Linked DNA regions of Oryza sativa Japonica Group. Each later gene encodes a partner of the first gene's protein in a complex. Links are inferred from orthologs where the notes say so. Each region holds a gene or a part of one and is shown on either strand. Other genes may lie near its edges. The genes, in order: trafficking protein particle complex II-specific subunit 130 homolog and trafficking protein particle complex II-specific subunit 120 homolog.

Region 1 (8,722 bases):
GACAAGGAAAATATTTCATAACTTTAAGCTACAGTTTCCCAAATATGAAATGAATAAACACATAAGTTCATGCGTGACGATAAACAAAAAGACTAGCAAAGTACAGGTCAGTACAAGCATTTCTAAAAATTACATATTCCATCCCATCGCATCTTTCAGTAAGTACTGAAAATATCAGCAACAACTTTATGGTACACTGTTCAATCATCATTGCCACTACTGTTCTGTGTCATATAATCTGGGAACTTGTTTTCCCATTCTTCTTCATTTGTTCTACATTAACAAATGACTGGTACATATTTGTAATGCATGTGAAAGTTTTCAATGTGTGCGAAAGATACACATTCTTATAAGTTATGGCTTCATTAGAGTTATAACTTAGGAAGTGCTGAAGTGGTATGGGCCAATTAAGCAGGACAAGAGCAAACTGACTCAATACAAGAGAACAGCAGTCTACATGAAGCATCACTAGAAGATTAAATGTCAAAAAGTAATGCTGAAAACTGCTTGCCTTCTCCTTTGCCATTGTTTCTGCTGATGAATCCGGTGGAATAGAAGGCCATGTAGCTGGCTTTGGCCATGGTAGCATGCTTAAAGATGCACTGCAGACACAACAAAACATATCATTTTGAATGCAAGATTGATGATGAATCATGAAACAATCAAGATACAATGTCTCACTGTTCAGTGACATGTAAAAAGAGAGGAAAGTAACCTATTAATTGGTAATTGACCAATAGGAAAGTTGAATTTAGTATATCTAATAGAGGAGCTGGATTAGTACCTGTTGACTGGACTTTTTTCTATCTCAACTCCATAACCAATCAAATAAGCAAGCCTCAGAAACTGCAATATCCATCAAGAGTATCATATAAACAAACAGTTTTCTGTACAGTACAAAACTGAGAGAAATGTAATTCACAAAGCAACGAAAAAGGGCTTGATTGATGGCACACAAGAAATTCATTGTAATAAAAAAACTAACACATATTGTTAAGAGTACAAAAGAAAGAAGAGAAAGAACAGACACAGTTTCCATTTGAATTAAAAATATTGAGTAAATTGCACTATAGGTCACTAAACATAATTGGGTGGTTCAAGTGGGTCATTCCCTGGAGATACACCCCTCAACTTGATTCCGTGAATACACGGGATCAATTCATGACAACATGGCTAGGCAACTCCGAAAATGATTCATCAGGACTAAATTACTTAATACAGTAATAGAAACTAATGTGAAGATAAGGATGTAACTAGTAAATGATTTGAAACTACAAATAAACAACAACATTACTTATTAACAGAAAATATAAATGGTTTATGACAAATGTATATAAATCATCAAACAATAGAAACTTGTGTGAAGACAGGTAACTTCCAAAATGATTTACAACTAAAAATGAAAGCACGGCTAGTGTGAAATGATTAAAAATATAGCAACAGAAACTGGTCTTGACCAAGTACAAAATTAAGTTCTTTTTTTAAAGATTTTTTACAAACTAACTCTTGCATAATACTATTTCCCACTACTGTTCCACTTTTTTTGTACTTAATTTACAATATTAAATAGGAACAAGTAGAAACATTAGATTTAAGCAATTAAACTTAGGCTGTGTTCGGGAGGAGGGGTCCTCCCCGGCACGTAAAACGAAGCACCTATTATTGTATGATTAATTAAGTATTTGCTAATTTTTTTTTCAAAAATGGATTAATATGATTTTTTTAAGCAACTTTCGTATAGAATTTTTTTGCAAAAAATGTACCGTTTAGTAGTTTGAAAAGCGTGCGTGCAGAAAACGAGGGAGGGAGGTTGGGAAAGGGAGGTAAAAAACGCAGCCTTACTAGATACTTCTACAAATCACAATGCATCAATGCTAAAACAAATAAGCCTCATTAAGTACAGAATTCTAGACAACATTCATTAAATCCTAGCAACAAGCTACCAGATAATGGCCAATATTCATACTTCTTCAATAACTCATGGGAAAATGTAAATTCGTAAATAGAATAAAAATACGATATATAGCAGGGAAATCAATATTAAATTACCAGAAGTATCAGAACTTACCTTAATACGGCACAGAGAATAGAGGTCACCCTGAATACGACAGAACTCCCTCTCTGAGTCGATAGCAACAGCTGTACCATCATAGTGTGAGGTTGTTGCTTTTATTAAATCCATACATGCAGTTATCACCCATACTTCACGAAAACAAAATGGTAGACCATTCTGAAAGCACATTCAGAATTACTTGAGTACACTTCACACAATATAGTCTTTCTAGAACATAAACTTTGCTTGTAGAGGAATAAAACAGAGAATGTACATACCTCCTGCAAGGCTAGCGTCTTGGAAAAGCTAACCACAAAAGCATATCCTCTTGCAGCAACCTCAATTGGGCGATGCAATTTAAACAATAACTGCAAAATGGTGAAATGGAAAAAGTATAAAGGCAATATATAAGGTTCAGTTGAACTAGCTCTAAAACAGAACAAAGTTCTGGCACTGGATGTCTAGTTTTATGTAACATGTTCCACTTGAGTAAAACAGTGTGCATGTTTGTATTGAGCAATAAAGAGCACCGCTACGCCATTAAACAGTAGCACTCTAGGCATATGTGAGTTGCAAATTGCAATTGTATGTGAGAATGACATGTGGGGCCTGGACACACATGTCAATGACACATACAATGGTATTCTCTAACTGTGACATTGCCAACTCATCTTAACTACTTTAAAAGAGCAGTCGTTGTCCTTCCTCCTCTAAAAAAATGCTCCCTCTCTTTATAAAAAAACCACCCTTAAAAAAAATCTAATGATCCCGTTGCAACGTACGGGCATGTAACTGGTAATAAAAAAAGAACCAAGCAGTACAGCAATGAAGAACAGATTGCAATGAAGTAAGAATGAAAAAAAATATTACTGACTTGACAAAAAAAATCATAGGAAAAAATAGCATTCAGTTACTCATTTTTTTACGACATGTCTTATACCTTAGCCTGGCAAGCAAATATGTATTGTCTAAACTCAAATTCTCTGAACACATCATCCTGGACAATTTGGGTCAATGCTTTAAATCCTGGATTTAGCAGCGCCGCTTGATCATCACCAGTATCCAATCCTCCAAATTCTCGATGTTTTCCAGGAGAATTAACTGCATTCATGTGAACAGAATGTTATGAATACTAATAACAAACCATGCTGTAAGACAATATTCCTTACATTTTATTTTAGATATCTCTATAATATATACTAACTTACGCAGCAAAGTGATAAGTTTTACACCACAGTTAGATCCTTAAGACAGAAGAAAAGAATGAGATATAGTCAATGATGATGAAATGGTAGTTTCGAAGCATGATAAGTACTAAAAAATTCGTAAATAAACAGTTATTCTCCAGAAAGAACAAGGAAAACTTGGAAATTAGATTTACAATTTTACATGTTTATGGTTGGAAGCAATATTAATGTTTTATAATGTCATCTGACTGATCTGGTATCAGAAGCACAGCTTTTAAAACCTCTATCTAATACTATAAAATCTATCCATGAAAAAAAACATTTCTAACCTAAGATTTCAATAAAAATCTATATTTTCTATGAGAAGTGAATGACATATTGTGCAACGATAAAAACATAGCTTAGTCCAAAGACTCCAAATAAGCATGAATAGATGTACGGAGTTACTGCAAATTCATGAAAAACTTCATCACTCTTGAAAAAAATCTTATACCGCGACCTTTATATTGATTAGGGCAGAAAAGCTTTTGGATATATGCAAATGTACTAGATGCAAAGCTCAAAAATGAATGCAACATAACTGCTACATCGAAGTTAGAGAAAACCTGATTCTGAGTAGCATAGTTCAAGCTCGTCGTATTCACGGAGTGAATCTTCATGAAGATTAGTCATCTCAAACATGAAAGCCAAGCTTTCCTAAACAAATAAATGATATCAATTACAAGAAAGCCACATGAAACAAAGGTATGTTTGTTCATAAAACCAGTGCTACTAAAAATATAATTTCAACTGACAAGCATCAAACGTGGTTGCATTGTTATACCTTAAGAATAAAAAAGTTGCAGAAGTTCCATATCGGAGTGAATCTCTGCTCACTTAACCTGCGAATTTCCTCTTCATAAAATTGAACCCGCCTATCCAATGTGTTTCTAATGCAGTCCACCATTTTGGAGTCAAAATCATCCCAGAATTCCGCATCAGGTCCATGGAGATCAAATTTACAGCATCTGCATCATAAAAGGCCATACTTTTTAAACCTGTTAATAACTCGATACTATTTGTAGTGAAGTTTAACTTAAGGTCCCAAAAAAAGTTCCTTGGGAATTTGGAGGTTGAGCATCCATATAGGAACAACATAAGTGCAAGATGACCGCAAATAGCATGTTGAACTGAATCAACCAAAACATTTACATTTTTCAAAGTCAAAGATATGAATATTACCAATACTGTTATGCAGAATTGGCAAACAAATACCTTTCTCTTTTTTTAGTGTTGAAATCGCTCTCAAGCCTAGCATATACTCTCTTTGCCATCTTAGATGCTTGGTCATTGCTAGGATGGGCCTTAGACACAAATACAATGAACCATTCCCTCTCATCATTTTGCACAATCAATTTGAGGCGAGGCTTAAGAATGGTCTTGAACTCATCAAGATCCTGGAGATTTCAATAGAGAGAAATGAATGCAAAAAGTCATCCACATGGTCCGTTTGAGAAGTGATATTATTACTTGAGAAGAATTAGAAAGAGCAGCATGCATGAGGACACGAAAGTACCTCGCAACTGACAAGAACAACAGTTGCATATGGTTCCCGGAACCAAAACAAGTATTGATCTTGTGGAAATCGACTACGTAGCCTCGAATCAGTGGTCTGTATAAACTCAGCTGGTAGGTTTTCCACAAAAACAGGATTCCTCGCCTTGTTATTGAGGCAGGCCTTCTTCACTGGTAAGCGTTGCTCGAAACTTTCTTTCACATTGAGCCACAAGTCACTCACATCTTCAACTGTTACAAAACGCAAATTACCATGTATAAGAAGAAGTCCACACAGATAAACAAACTTGAAATTCATTTCCACCAGCATGTGCAGCAAAGAAGTAAAACAATTAATGTTCAAACCCATTTTCAATGTAATTCTCCAAACTGTACGCCCTAAAAGGAAAATCTTCCAACATAGCTAGAAATGTGCTAGCAAGTTGAGCTGCAGTGAGTGAATGAGGGTAGTTATACTTGGGAGAATCCTACACGGGTTGTTTCATGCCGATGTGATGCACTGCATCACGCTTCCAGAATCAGATCATGGAACCACCAAACCCCCCGCATCTTCCATTGCTGCTCGTGAGCTCAATCACTATGAAATTTTACACAAACGCAAACATGCAAACTACCTGCACTGCGAATCTAACTAAACTAGACCCACTATTCCAGCTCGAATCGCCGCGGCCCCGAGATCACGCGGGCCGAGCCAGCCGCGCGGCTTGACGGATCAGATCCCGGGGCCATTTCTAGGGTTCAGGGAGGAGGAGGAGGAGACCCGTACCGGCGACGACGATGCGGTCGCAGGAGGACTTGATGGTCTGGAACTGCGCGAGGTAGTTCGCCATCGCCACCGCGCCCGCCCTTCACCTCACGCAGCCTCCGCTCCGTCCCCTACTGCTCCATGCGGCGTCCCACTCGCCCCGCCGCCGCCGCCGGTGAGGGGTTCGCCGGAGAGAGGCGGCGCGCGGGGGGGGGGGGGGGGAAGAGATCGCGAGATGCGGAGGAGTGGAAGAGTTCGGTGGAGACGAGACGAAGGCTGTGGCCGTAAAGCGGGTCGGGGTAAACGGGTCGGAGAGGCTGACGTGTGGGGCCCACGTGTCAGTCTCCCACGGGAGGCTTTAGATGAGTGGTGATATCTGCTGGCCCTGCTGAGTTCGCGACCTCGCTCGGGCCGAATTCACGCGCTTCTCTGGGCCTAATTGACGCGCAACTTTGGGCCAAATTCTCTGGCCGATTCGGGGCCACTTGCGAACCGGATTTGTTCTACGGATGGGCTGGGTTTAAGGGCAGTGACGGGCTGAATTTACCCACACTTGGTACGTATTTTTGGGCCAAGTTTAAGCATACTTTGGGCTGAATTTGCGCGGTGGTTAGGCCAAATTTGTGCGGATTTTGGGCTGAAATAACGTGCAGGTTCCGGCATTGCGGGCTGGATTTGTACTCGTATTTGGGCCAAATTTAAAGCCTATTTTGGGGGCAAAATTTACTAAGGCCTAATTACGGGCAAATTTGGGCCGAAACTGCACTCATGGGCCTACCTTACACGCAGTTTTTGCCGAATTTATTTGCACTTGAGGGCCAAATTTACCCGTATTTGTGGACCGAATTTACGAGATGTTATGATGCAAACTTATTACTTGTAGTCCTATATTCAATATGCCAAAAATTTTGCCCCAACAGACGAAGTTATATTAACAGCTCTGTGCCATTTAACACTTTATTCCCCAAAAGTGGTCAAATCAATAACCAAAGATGTTTAGTGCATTTACGAATAATCAAATGCAGCGACATGAACTAAATGTCTCATGGTGCATCACAAAGCTCAGATATGAAAAGATCAAGAAGACAGTCTGAATGACCGAAACTGTGTAACTCGCATGACATAAGAAAGGTATGATCTAATGCAGAATTGCAGATGACAGTTTAAAAAGAAGAAGAAAAATATGACACAGCCCCAGATTGAATTTAACATACATCCTTGAAATAAAATTAAAGTTAGTACGCATATGCATTTCAGAGAGATGTCATGGATTAGCCTATCTCCTTGGAGATTAATATTCACAGCTAAAAACAAACAAATTGCTTCTGAATTACAGAAACCATCACGAGGTTCAGCTCTTTAGCCCTTCCTGTGATGGCCGCTGTCAAAAGGAAATGACAGCGAATCATCATAACACAATCTATCAGGAGTTTACAGCCTCCTGGATGCTAACCACAAACCATGAAAACAATCATCAGAACTATGGTACAGCTACTAGCAATCTGAAAACCATGCTGCCTTTTTTCTTTTCCATAATCTGTACAACAATAACAACAACAATTATTCTGTACACCAGCCAATGCTACAATGATCCCAATCTGTGGTCGTCATCGATGCCGTCCTCCTCCTCGGCGACGAGCTTGTCGATCAACAGCTCCATTGTCCTGATGTACTTGGGCATGTAATGCTCCCTTATCATGGATCTCGCCAAGCGAATCTTGCTGTAAAGATGTCGAGGTGTCTCATACAAGGCAACGACCTCCTCACCTTGTTCACTTGTACTGTTTGGCTCTGATGATGATGGCAATCCAACCATGTGCATTATTCTTCCTGGAGGGTAGAGCTGGGGGGGATCTTGACTTTGGCTCGACGATGACGGCTCGTGTGGGTTGTCGGTCAAGGTTTCTAGAAGCTCCACGGCCTGATCTTCGTCTGTTTCATTGAGAGCTGGCTCATTCTCCCCTCTGTCGGTATCATCGTCATTATCTGATTCTTGAAGGTCAAGTTCTTCCATGGAAATTGAGACTAGTTGTGCCGTTTCGATGTCAGTTTTCTCAGCTTTGACATTGACATCAGTTTGATTTGTGATGTCATGAGTTCCATGTTTTGCAGAGTCAATGGAATGCTTATGTGCAGCAACACATGACCAGCAAGCTATTGCATGGCGTTTCTTCACCACAGCATCTGAATTTGACGAAGGCTTCACCTGATCAGCCTGCCAAATAATCATGAATCAACTATTTAGGTGACAAGTATGATTAGCTTGTTCGAAGAACTGGTGTTTGCAACAATCTAGCTGCCATACCTCAGAGCTGTTGGGCACCAGCATGTCAACATCTACAACCTTGGATCTTGGATCAGAGACGAATGGCACGTGCGATCGGATGAAGCTCACAGAGCGATTGACAAAGCCCAAGAATCTGGTCTGCTGAATTTGCTCACGAAGGTCATGTACCCAGGATGATGCCATGACCTGTCATCAATGACCGCGACGGTAAATATGTTGCAATGATTATCTTTTACTAGCTTCCAAGAACTGTTTGCAGGGAAGAATTTTATAAATGATATGCTCTAAAGAACTGCATCTGCGATACAGTTCTTGGTTCCCGTTTTGATCGTCATACTTAGGAATCTGCTCATGAATTCAGGTAGCTGAGAGGTACCTCTGTACGGAGCTTGGCAGCAGAAACTTTGCCAAAAGATGGAACTAGGTCATTTCTGTTGACAATGGTTGTGATGAAGTCTTTACCCGACTCAGCCAAGTCCCATGTCATGCAAGCAGCTGAACAGAAATAGTAGGACAGGGAGCATTACTATCTCACATCAAGTATTTCTACATCATAATTTTGTAGAATCAAAAGAAGAACATGGAGTTATTCTACTTATTCTACAGATGTATATGTACATCGCGATCGATTGGACATGTAATCTTTGTCCAAAAAAAATTGAATATGTAAAAATCATAAGATCCTTCAAACATTTGTTCATTGCTGAATAGTTAAAGCTAGAATTTTTTTATAACAATTAATTAATAGCTTTTAAATTGTAGGCGTGCAAATGCCATTCCATGAGACTATATTGGTGTGTAAGGTGCTAATATGGCCTTTTAGTGAAATATATTTTCTTATGTTAAGAATGCAATTCCAAGGTCCGTGAACAATGGTAAACTAGTTGCTTGTGCTC
Region 2 (7,051 bases), on another chromosome or scaffold:
CTAATGGGCGCTGCCGATGGTGCCAAGGCTCTGATTGATGCCAGTGATCGCTTGATACTCTATATTGAAATCGCGAGACTTTTTGGTACACTTGGTTATAAACGCAAGGCGGCCTTTTTTTCAAGACAAGTTGCGCAATTGTATCTCCAGCAGGATAATGCATATGCTGCTATGAGTGCTATGCAGGTCCTAACCACAACTACAACTGCATACCATGTTCAAAGCAGGAAGACCAGCAAAATGGATCATGGTTTGCTCAAGGTGAGATTTTGAGAGCTTGCAGCATTGAGAATTATTTCCATTATTCAGAATACTGCACCATATTCATATGTTCTCCTCAACTTCTCCAAACATGCCTCGCATTTTATCAACTTGGATACTGCTTTACTCAGTGAAATCATGCCATCATCAAAATGTGCTTTCTTTTTATGCTGGAAATTTCACGGAAATAAACTTTGCTATGCTAGTCACGAGTTAACTGCACAACATTTTGCCTTTTATTCATCTTTATATATTAGTACTCCCTCCGTCTCATTTTAAGTGCAACCATGAGTTTCCATGCCCAAATTTGATCGTCCGTCTTATTTGATTTTTTTTATAATTAGTATTTTTATTGTTATAAGATGATAAAACATGAATCGTACTTTACGCGTGACTTATGTTTTTAATTTTTTTCAAAAAATTTTGAAATAAGACTGACAATCAAAGTTGGGCACGGAAAATCATGGCTGCACTTAAAATAGGACGGAGAGAGTAGTTGCTTTCCTTTTATTTCTGTTGATGTGGTGAGCAGGGTAGAATAAATGTCGTTGACAAGAAATATAACTCAATTTAAGCATTTTAGGACGGGTATCAATGGTTAAGAAAGATACATGAACCCCAATGCAAACTGTATTAATCATGTTAGTAAACATTCCTGCTTTATTAAAGAGCATGTGAGCACTTTGCCAGCATATATTTTTTATTTTATGGTGCTCATCTTGTTATACCAGAAATGATCATTCAGATATCATTCGTTTAATCACACAAAGGACGAGCGTAATTATTATATTGACAAATTGGTGTTGAGTTTATATTTTATTTTACATATAATGATAATGACGTATATTGAATAGTTTTGCATTCATAGCTTTACTGGTTATCCTTATTTGATTCTGGCAATACTGATCCTGGAAAATTGCATCCTCAGTCTGTAGTATCACTATTTGAGTCACAATGGAGTACCCTTCAAATGGTTGTTCTAAGAGAGATACTGATGTCTTCAATCCGGGCTGCGGATCCCTTATCGTCGTGGAGTGCTGCAGCCCGGCTTCTTCGGTCATTTTACCCACTCATCACCCCAGCTGGTCAGAGTGGCTTGGCAAGCTCTCTTTCAAACTCAGCTGATAAGCTTCCATCGGGCACACGTTGTGCCGATCCATGTCTTCCTTTTATCAGGCATGTCAAATTAATGAATACTCTTATTGCTATGTTTGGGGAAACTTAAAATAGATACTGTAGGAGTCCTTTTATTTTGTTGCAAAACTGTAGGAACTACTGTTGAATCAGGAAGAAGATTTTGATCGAGCATGTTTCTTTATTTGTTTTCTGAGTTTTTATTTCTGGTGTCCTTTTTTTAACTCAGGTTGCATTCTTTCCCACTGCACCCTTCACAAAGAGAGATAGTGAAGCGCAATCCAAATAAAAAAGAGTGGTGGACTGGTGGTGGTCCTTCTGGACCTTTTATTTACACACCTTTCACCAAGGGGGGAACATCTGGAACTAGCAAACAAGAGGTAAATTGGATTGTGGGAGAGCCAGTTCAAGTTATGGTAGAGTTAGCAAATCCCTGCAGCTTTGACCTAATTGTTGAGAGCATTTATCTCTCTGTTCATTCTGGAAATTTTGATGCCTTTCCGGTTAGTGTTAATCTTCCACCAAACACTTCCAAATTGGTTCTGTTATCTGGAATTCCAACACAAGTTGGACAAGTATCAATTCCTGGGTGCATTGTTCATTGCTTCGGTGTTATCACAGAACACCTATTCAAAGAGGTCGATTGTCTACTCCTTGGAGCTGCACAAGGGCTTGTTCTTTCTGATCCTTTCAGATGCTGTGGCTCTAGCAAGTTTAAGAGCGTTAACTTTCCAAGCATTTCTGTTGTTCCTCCTCTGCCATTATTAGTTGCCAATGTTGTGGGCGGAGATGGTTCTATTCTTCTATATGAAGGTGAAATCCGTGATGTTTTGATAACACTGACAAATGCTGGAACTGTACCTGTTGAAGAAGCAAATGTTGCATTGTCAGGGAAGAACCAAGATTCTGTTATTTCGATTGCCCATAGCACATGGAAATCTGCACTTCCTATTAAACCTGGTGGAGAAGTGACATTCGCAGTGACTCTCAGAGCCTGGCATCTTAGCCCGACAGATTTGGAAGCAGATGGCAGCAGATCTCCTGCAAACTCAAGGAGGATAGCAAGAGAAGGGAGTAATCCTTTCTTGGATATTCACTATGCTGGTGGGTTCTTGGTGCAACATTCAATTTTATTAGTGCATCGAAGTCACATCAGTTTAACATATTCCCATCCATATGCATCCCTACCAACTGTTTTTATTTATCCTAGATTCAAATGTTTCAGCAAAACACAGTAGGAATTAGCTGTAAGGAATTACCATAGCAGGATAGAAACAGATAGGCAAGTACGAGTAGCTTGTTTACTACTACATCCGTTTCATATTATAGGTTGTTTTGACTTTTTTCCTAGTCAAACCTTTATGTTTGACCTACTTTATAGAAAAATATAGTAATATTTTCAACTCAAAACAAATATGTTATCAAAATATATTCAATGTTACATATAGTGAAACTTATTCGGTGTTGTAAATATTGCTATTTTTTTTATAAACTTAGTAAAACTTAAAGAAGTTAGACTAGGAAAAAAGTCAAAGCGAATTATAATATGAAATGGAGGGAGTATGTGTGTTAAAGCCCCTTGTCAGTTGTTATTTATTCTCTTCGATGATGTTTACAGTATTTCTTTCTCTGAAATGGCGATGCTCACTCTTTAGCCTGTCTTAGAAATGCATAACCAACAACCTTGGCCTTTCTAAGCATAAACAAATGAAATGTGGAGAGTATTCTTTTTTAATGATCAGTTAGGCTGTCTACAGTCTTGAGGAATGAGGACTGAATTTCGACTTTCTGCCATTACAGGTCCTTCAGGGAACTCTGAGAGCAATGATGTTTCTCTCCCACCTGGAAGACGTCTGGTTGTTCCGTTGAATATTTGTGTTGTACAGGGCATGCGACTTGTAAGAGCACGCCTGTTGTCCATGGAATTACCTGCCCGGTTTACTGATGCTCACTTAAGATCTGTCAGTAGCAAGGACAATCTAAGCAATGGCAGTGATGCGATTCGTAATGACATTAGCTTATTGAAGATTGATCCTTATAAAGGAAGCTGGGACCTCCGTCTTCTGGAACTTGAGCTGTTTAATCCTACTGATGTTGTTTTCGATGTTGATGTCTCAGTTCATCTCGATGGCACAAGTGTCGAGCAAAAAATTCTTCCAGAGGATAAAACGGCCAGTTCGGCTTGCCACAAAACTCGAATTGATCGTGACTACTCTGCTAGAGTTCTCATACCTCTTGAGCACTTCAAATTACCTGTTCTTGACACTTCCTTCTTTGTGAAGGAAAATGGAAGTGATGAACCTCTTGGATCCAGAGCTGCCACGTTAGCAGAAAAGAATGCCAAGGCGGAACTAAATGCTTCAATCAACAACTTGATTTCAAAGATAAAAGTGAAGTGGCATTCTGGGAGAAATAGCTCCGGTGAGCTGAATATTAAAGATGCTATTCAGACAGCATTACAGGCATCTATTATGGACATACTGTTGCCTGATCCGCTGACATTCAGCTTTAGACATGCCAAGGATGGAACAACAGCCAAAACTGACTCTTCGAAGGAGCCTGGTGACGGTTCCAGTCGTTCTGCTGATGAGAGTGTTCTGAGGTGTAAGGATCCTATATTTGCTAATGAAATGACCCATATGGAAGTTCAAATTCGCAATAACACTAAGGAAACTATTCGGATGAACCTAAGCATTTCATGCAAAGATGTTGCTGGAGAGAATTGCTTCGACGAAAATAGCGCAACTGTCCTCTGGGCTGGTAATTTAATGATGACATTATCTTTCCTGCTATCCTTGTCTGTTTTGACATTTTGTTTTCTGAAGGCAGCAAATGATCACGGTTAAGGAAGATCACAATATTTACATTTTGATTAGTTTTTGGCTTTCCATTGAACCAATCCGTTAGGTTACAGTTTGTCATTGCATTCTGCCCTTAATCTGTTCATCTATTTACTCACAAATGTCCTTTTTGGTGCAGGTGTTCTTAGTGACATATATCTGGAGGTTCAACCACTGCAGGAGGTAGTACATCCTTTTTCTATCTACTTCCTGGTCCCCGGAGACTACTCGCTGCAAGCTGCTTCTGTTATAATTGACGCAACCGATGTTCTTCGTGCTCGGGCAAAGGCAGAGTCGCCCGACGAACCTATACTATGCCGTGGATCTCCATTCCATATCCATGTAGTTGGTACAGCTTAGCCGGACTTTCTTGGATTTAGTCTAGAGCGTGCCCTGTATCGTGCGTGAGTTTCGTGACATGTGCAGCTGCGAAGATCATGTAGAATTTTTATGCACATCTGATTTATTTGAGCCGCATGAAGGCTTCCCTGTAACACAGTTGTGTTTTGTACAGTGTAAAAGCATAGTGAAGGTTGTTTCACAGACGCGCGAATTTGCTGGTTCTGGTTTCAGCATCTCGATGTAAATTTTTTCTGTCCTACGAAGAATTCCATACGTATGAGCTCTCATTTCTGCCATTAAGAAATGATGGGGATTTAAAAATTTCGATGCATCAATACAAGTTGAAATCCATCAACCATCGATTGTTACTTTTCATACGCATGGATAGTCATTTCTGCCGTTAAGAAATTGTTGGGGTTTTGAAATTTTGATGCATCAATACACCCATCAACCAGCGATTGTTTAATTTCTTTGCAAACAGTGACAAGGACAATAAGGCAAAGGTCAAGTTGTCAAAGAAGGCTGCATCCCTAGTCTTGTGATCAAATCTTTTATATGCTTCTTTTCAATCTTTTATGTTTCTTGGGCGGAGGTCCTCACTGGCATGCATTTGTTTGTTGCTTGAAGTACAGCCTGGCAATCGCCTTGAAGAGCAGGAGCTTCAAGGGAAGCCTTCGCCGGTGTCTGAGCTACTGAAGGTTTGTGTAGAGGCAGATAAGAATGTTTTCAAATTACTAACCTTGCATACTGCAGTCTTATGTTTTGAAATGGACATGATAAAAGTTACGAAATGCTCTGATTGTCTTGACAAACTTGAGCAGTGGCGAAGTCCTACCCCTTTTTGTCCGTGTGCAATTGCAATTTGTAGCTTGCACAAAACTTTCAATGGGTCGTGCAAGATGATGTGAACTTCTGACATTCCTTTACTTTTGTTTTCATGGTCATAAGTGTGCAGGATTTTATGCCCTCCGCAAGTTGCAAAAGGTAGTTATAGAAATAGAACGAAATGAGGCTCGACTGGAGAAAATCGCTAATGTTGCAAGGGCGGCTCTTACGAGGATGAACAATGGGGAGACACTATCTCAGGAGGAGATGAAATCGTACCTTGAAGAAATTATTCGTTTGGCTAGTATCTAAGGAACTGATCCCAGGATAGTGTAATTTTTCATCACCTCTGTAATACTCCTATGTCATACGATGCGTAATCAAACATTGCAAATTTGCAATCATATGCCCCTCCAGCTAGATATTTGGTTAACTGTTTATTTCTTCAACTCTATAAATTAGTTGTACTTATAACATGATGCATTCTGCTTTAATTCTTTAAAGTAAAATATTCTCGTCATTTGAATTCAGAGAGTACCAGCCTGTAGGACGGCTTAGCTTTGGTAGCACGGTAATCAGGCTTACCAAGCTTACGGAGCCATCGTTTCGCTTATTCGCGGAATAAATGAAACGGCATATTTGCAAACGAAAAATAAGTTGTGAATAAAACTTTTATATACGTGTTCTTGGCAGTCTAGAAGTAAAGGCTGGAAAATAAACTTCGATGAAAAAAACCTCAAAATCGACTCCAAATTTAAGGTTGAAAATTAAAATTTTGACTGATAAACATAAGCATAGCTTTTGCTTCGTGTTCGTATAATGTTTGAACTTTGAAGTGACAGAACGAAACAAACATCCTAATCGTAAGGCACTCGCATAGTATAGCGCTCGTTGTGCCGGTGCCGTTCACAATCACACACGTGCAGGCCATGTACTTCCTAGTCACGATTACTGAAATTATCTCAACCAAATTGGGGAGACGAGCTTTTTTTTTTTTTGATAGATCTTCACATCGTCAAGCATTCTACAAACTATATGTTGATTGAATGGGAAAACGATCAGTACACAGACAGACATGGGCGCAGAAACTTCTTAAGATTTTAAGCTTGACAAGTAAAGTCAAGTCAAATTCCTAGTACAGAAAGGTAAACTCTTGTCTAGTCAAGATGGTAGACACGAGAAAGACATCTAGGTGGCATCAAAATCTCATGATCAAAGCTTTCAGAACCCTGAATATCTCCTCATATACATCTTAAGCGGCTGTGAAAACCTTCTTCCCTGCACCACTCTTTGACCCTGCCGGAATGACCTTCAGCACATTGAACCTCACGGTCTTTGACAGTGGCCTGATATTAAACAGATAGTTGAGTAATTTGTGGATTTCTGGGATGAAGCACACAAAATAACTGTACTTTACTTGGCTAAGATTAGAAAATTCATGCTCAAACATTCAGGTTTGTATTCACTGAGGTACACAACATTCACAGGTCAAAGTGAGCCGTCACAAAAACATTCAAAGGAACATGACAAGCTTTACCTGCACTGGCCAATGATCACGTGATCTCCTTCCTTAACACGGAAGCACGGTGAAATGTGAGCAGGAATATTGGAGTGCCTCTTCTCGTACCTGCATCAGCATCAATAAAATT

Evidence for each region.
Region 2: trafficking protein particle complex II-specific subunit 130 homolog (region 1) and trafficking protein particle complex II-specific subunit 120 homolog share a complex: the UniProt entries of both Arabidopsis thaliana proteins name them as parts of the multisubunit TRAPP (transport protein particle) II complex. The link is inferred for Oryza sativa Japonica Group from reciprocal best matches to the Arabidopsis thaliana genes CLUB and TRS120.

What each region holds. Positions count from the first base shown.
Region 1 is NC_089046.1:23,210,821-23,219,542, forward strand, and holds the start of trafficking protein particle complex II-specific subunit 130 homolog, read right to left. Parts: upstream 5,811-8,722; 5' UTR 5,625-5,810; coding exon 5,561-5,624; intron 5,026-5,560; coding exon 4,796-5,025; intron 4,677-4,795; coding exon 4,495-4,676; intron 4,248-4,494; coding exon 4,064-4,247; intron 3,937-4,063; coding exon 3,846-3,936; intron 3,155-3,845; coding exon 2,994-3,154; intron 2,422-2,993; coding exon 2,332-2,421; intron 2,231-2,331; coding exon 2,069-2,230; intron 847-2,068; coding exon 785-846; intron 603-784; coding exon 512-602; intron 1-511. Other genes in the region: uncharacterized protein, read right to left, coding at 7,122-7,754, 7,845-8,012, 8,203-8,321. UniProt on the Arabidopsis thaliana protein: Specific subunit of the TRAPP II complex, a highly conserved vesicle tethering complex that is required for the proper transport of proteins in post-Golgi trafficking pathways to the growing cell plate in mitotic active cells.
Region 2 is NC_089038.1:25,567,838-25,574,888, forward strand, and holds the end of trafficking protein particle complex II-specific subunit 120 homolog, read left to right. Parts: coding exon 1-261; intron 262-1,189; coding exon 1,190-1,437; intron 1,438-1,624; coding exon 1,625-2,499; intron 2,500-3,195; coding exon 3,196-4,155; intron 4,156-4,374; coding exon 4,375-4,595; 3' UTR 4,596-4,775; downstream 4,776-7,051. Other genes in the region: 40S ribosomal protein S11, read right to left, coding at 6,655-6,748, 6,940-7,029. UniProt on the Arabidopsis thaliana protein: Specific subunit of the TRAPP II complex, a highly conserved vesicle tethering complex that is required for the proper transport of proteins in post-Golgi trafficking pathways to the growing cell plate in mitotic active cells.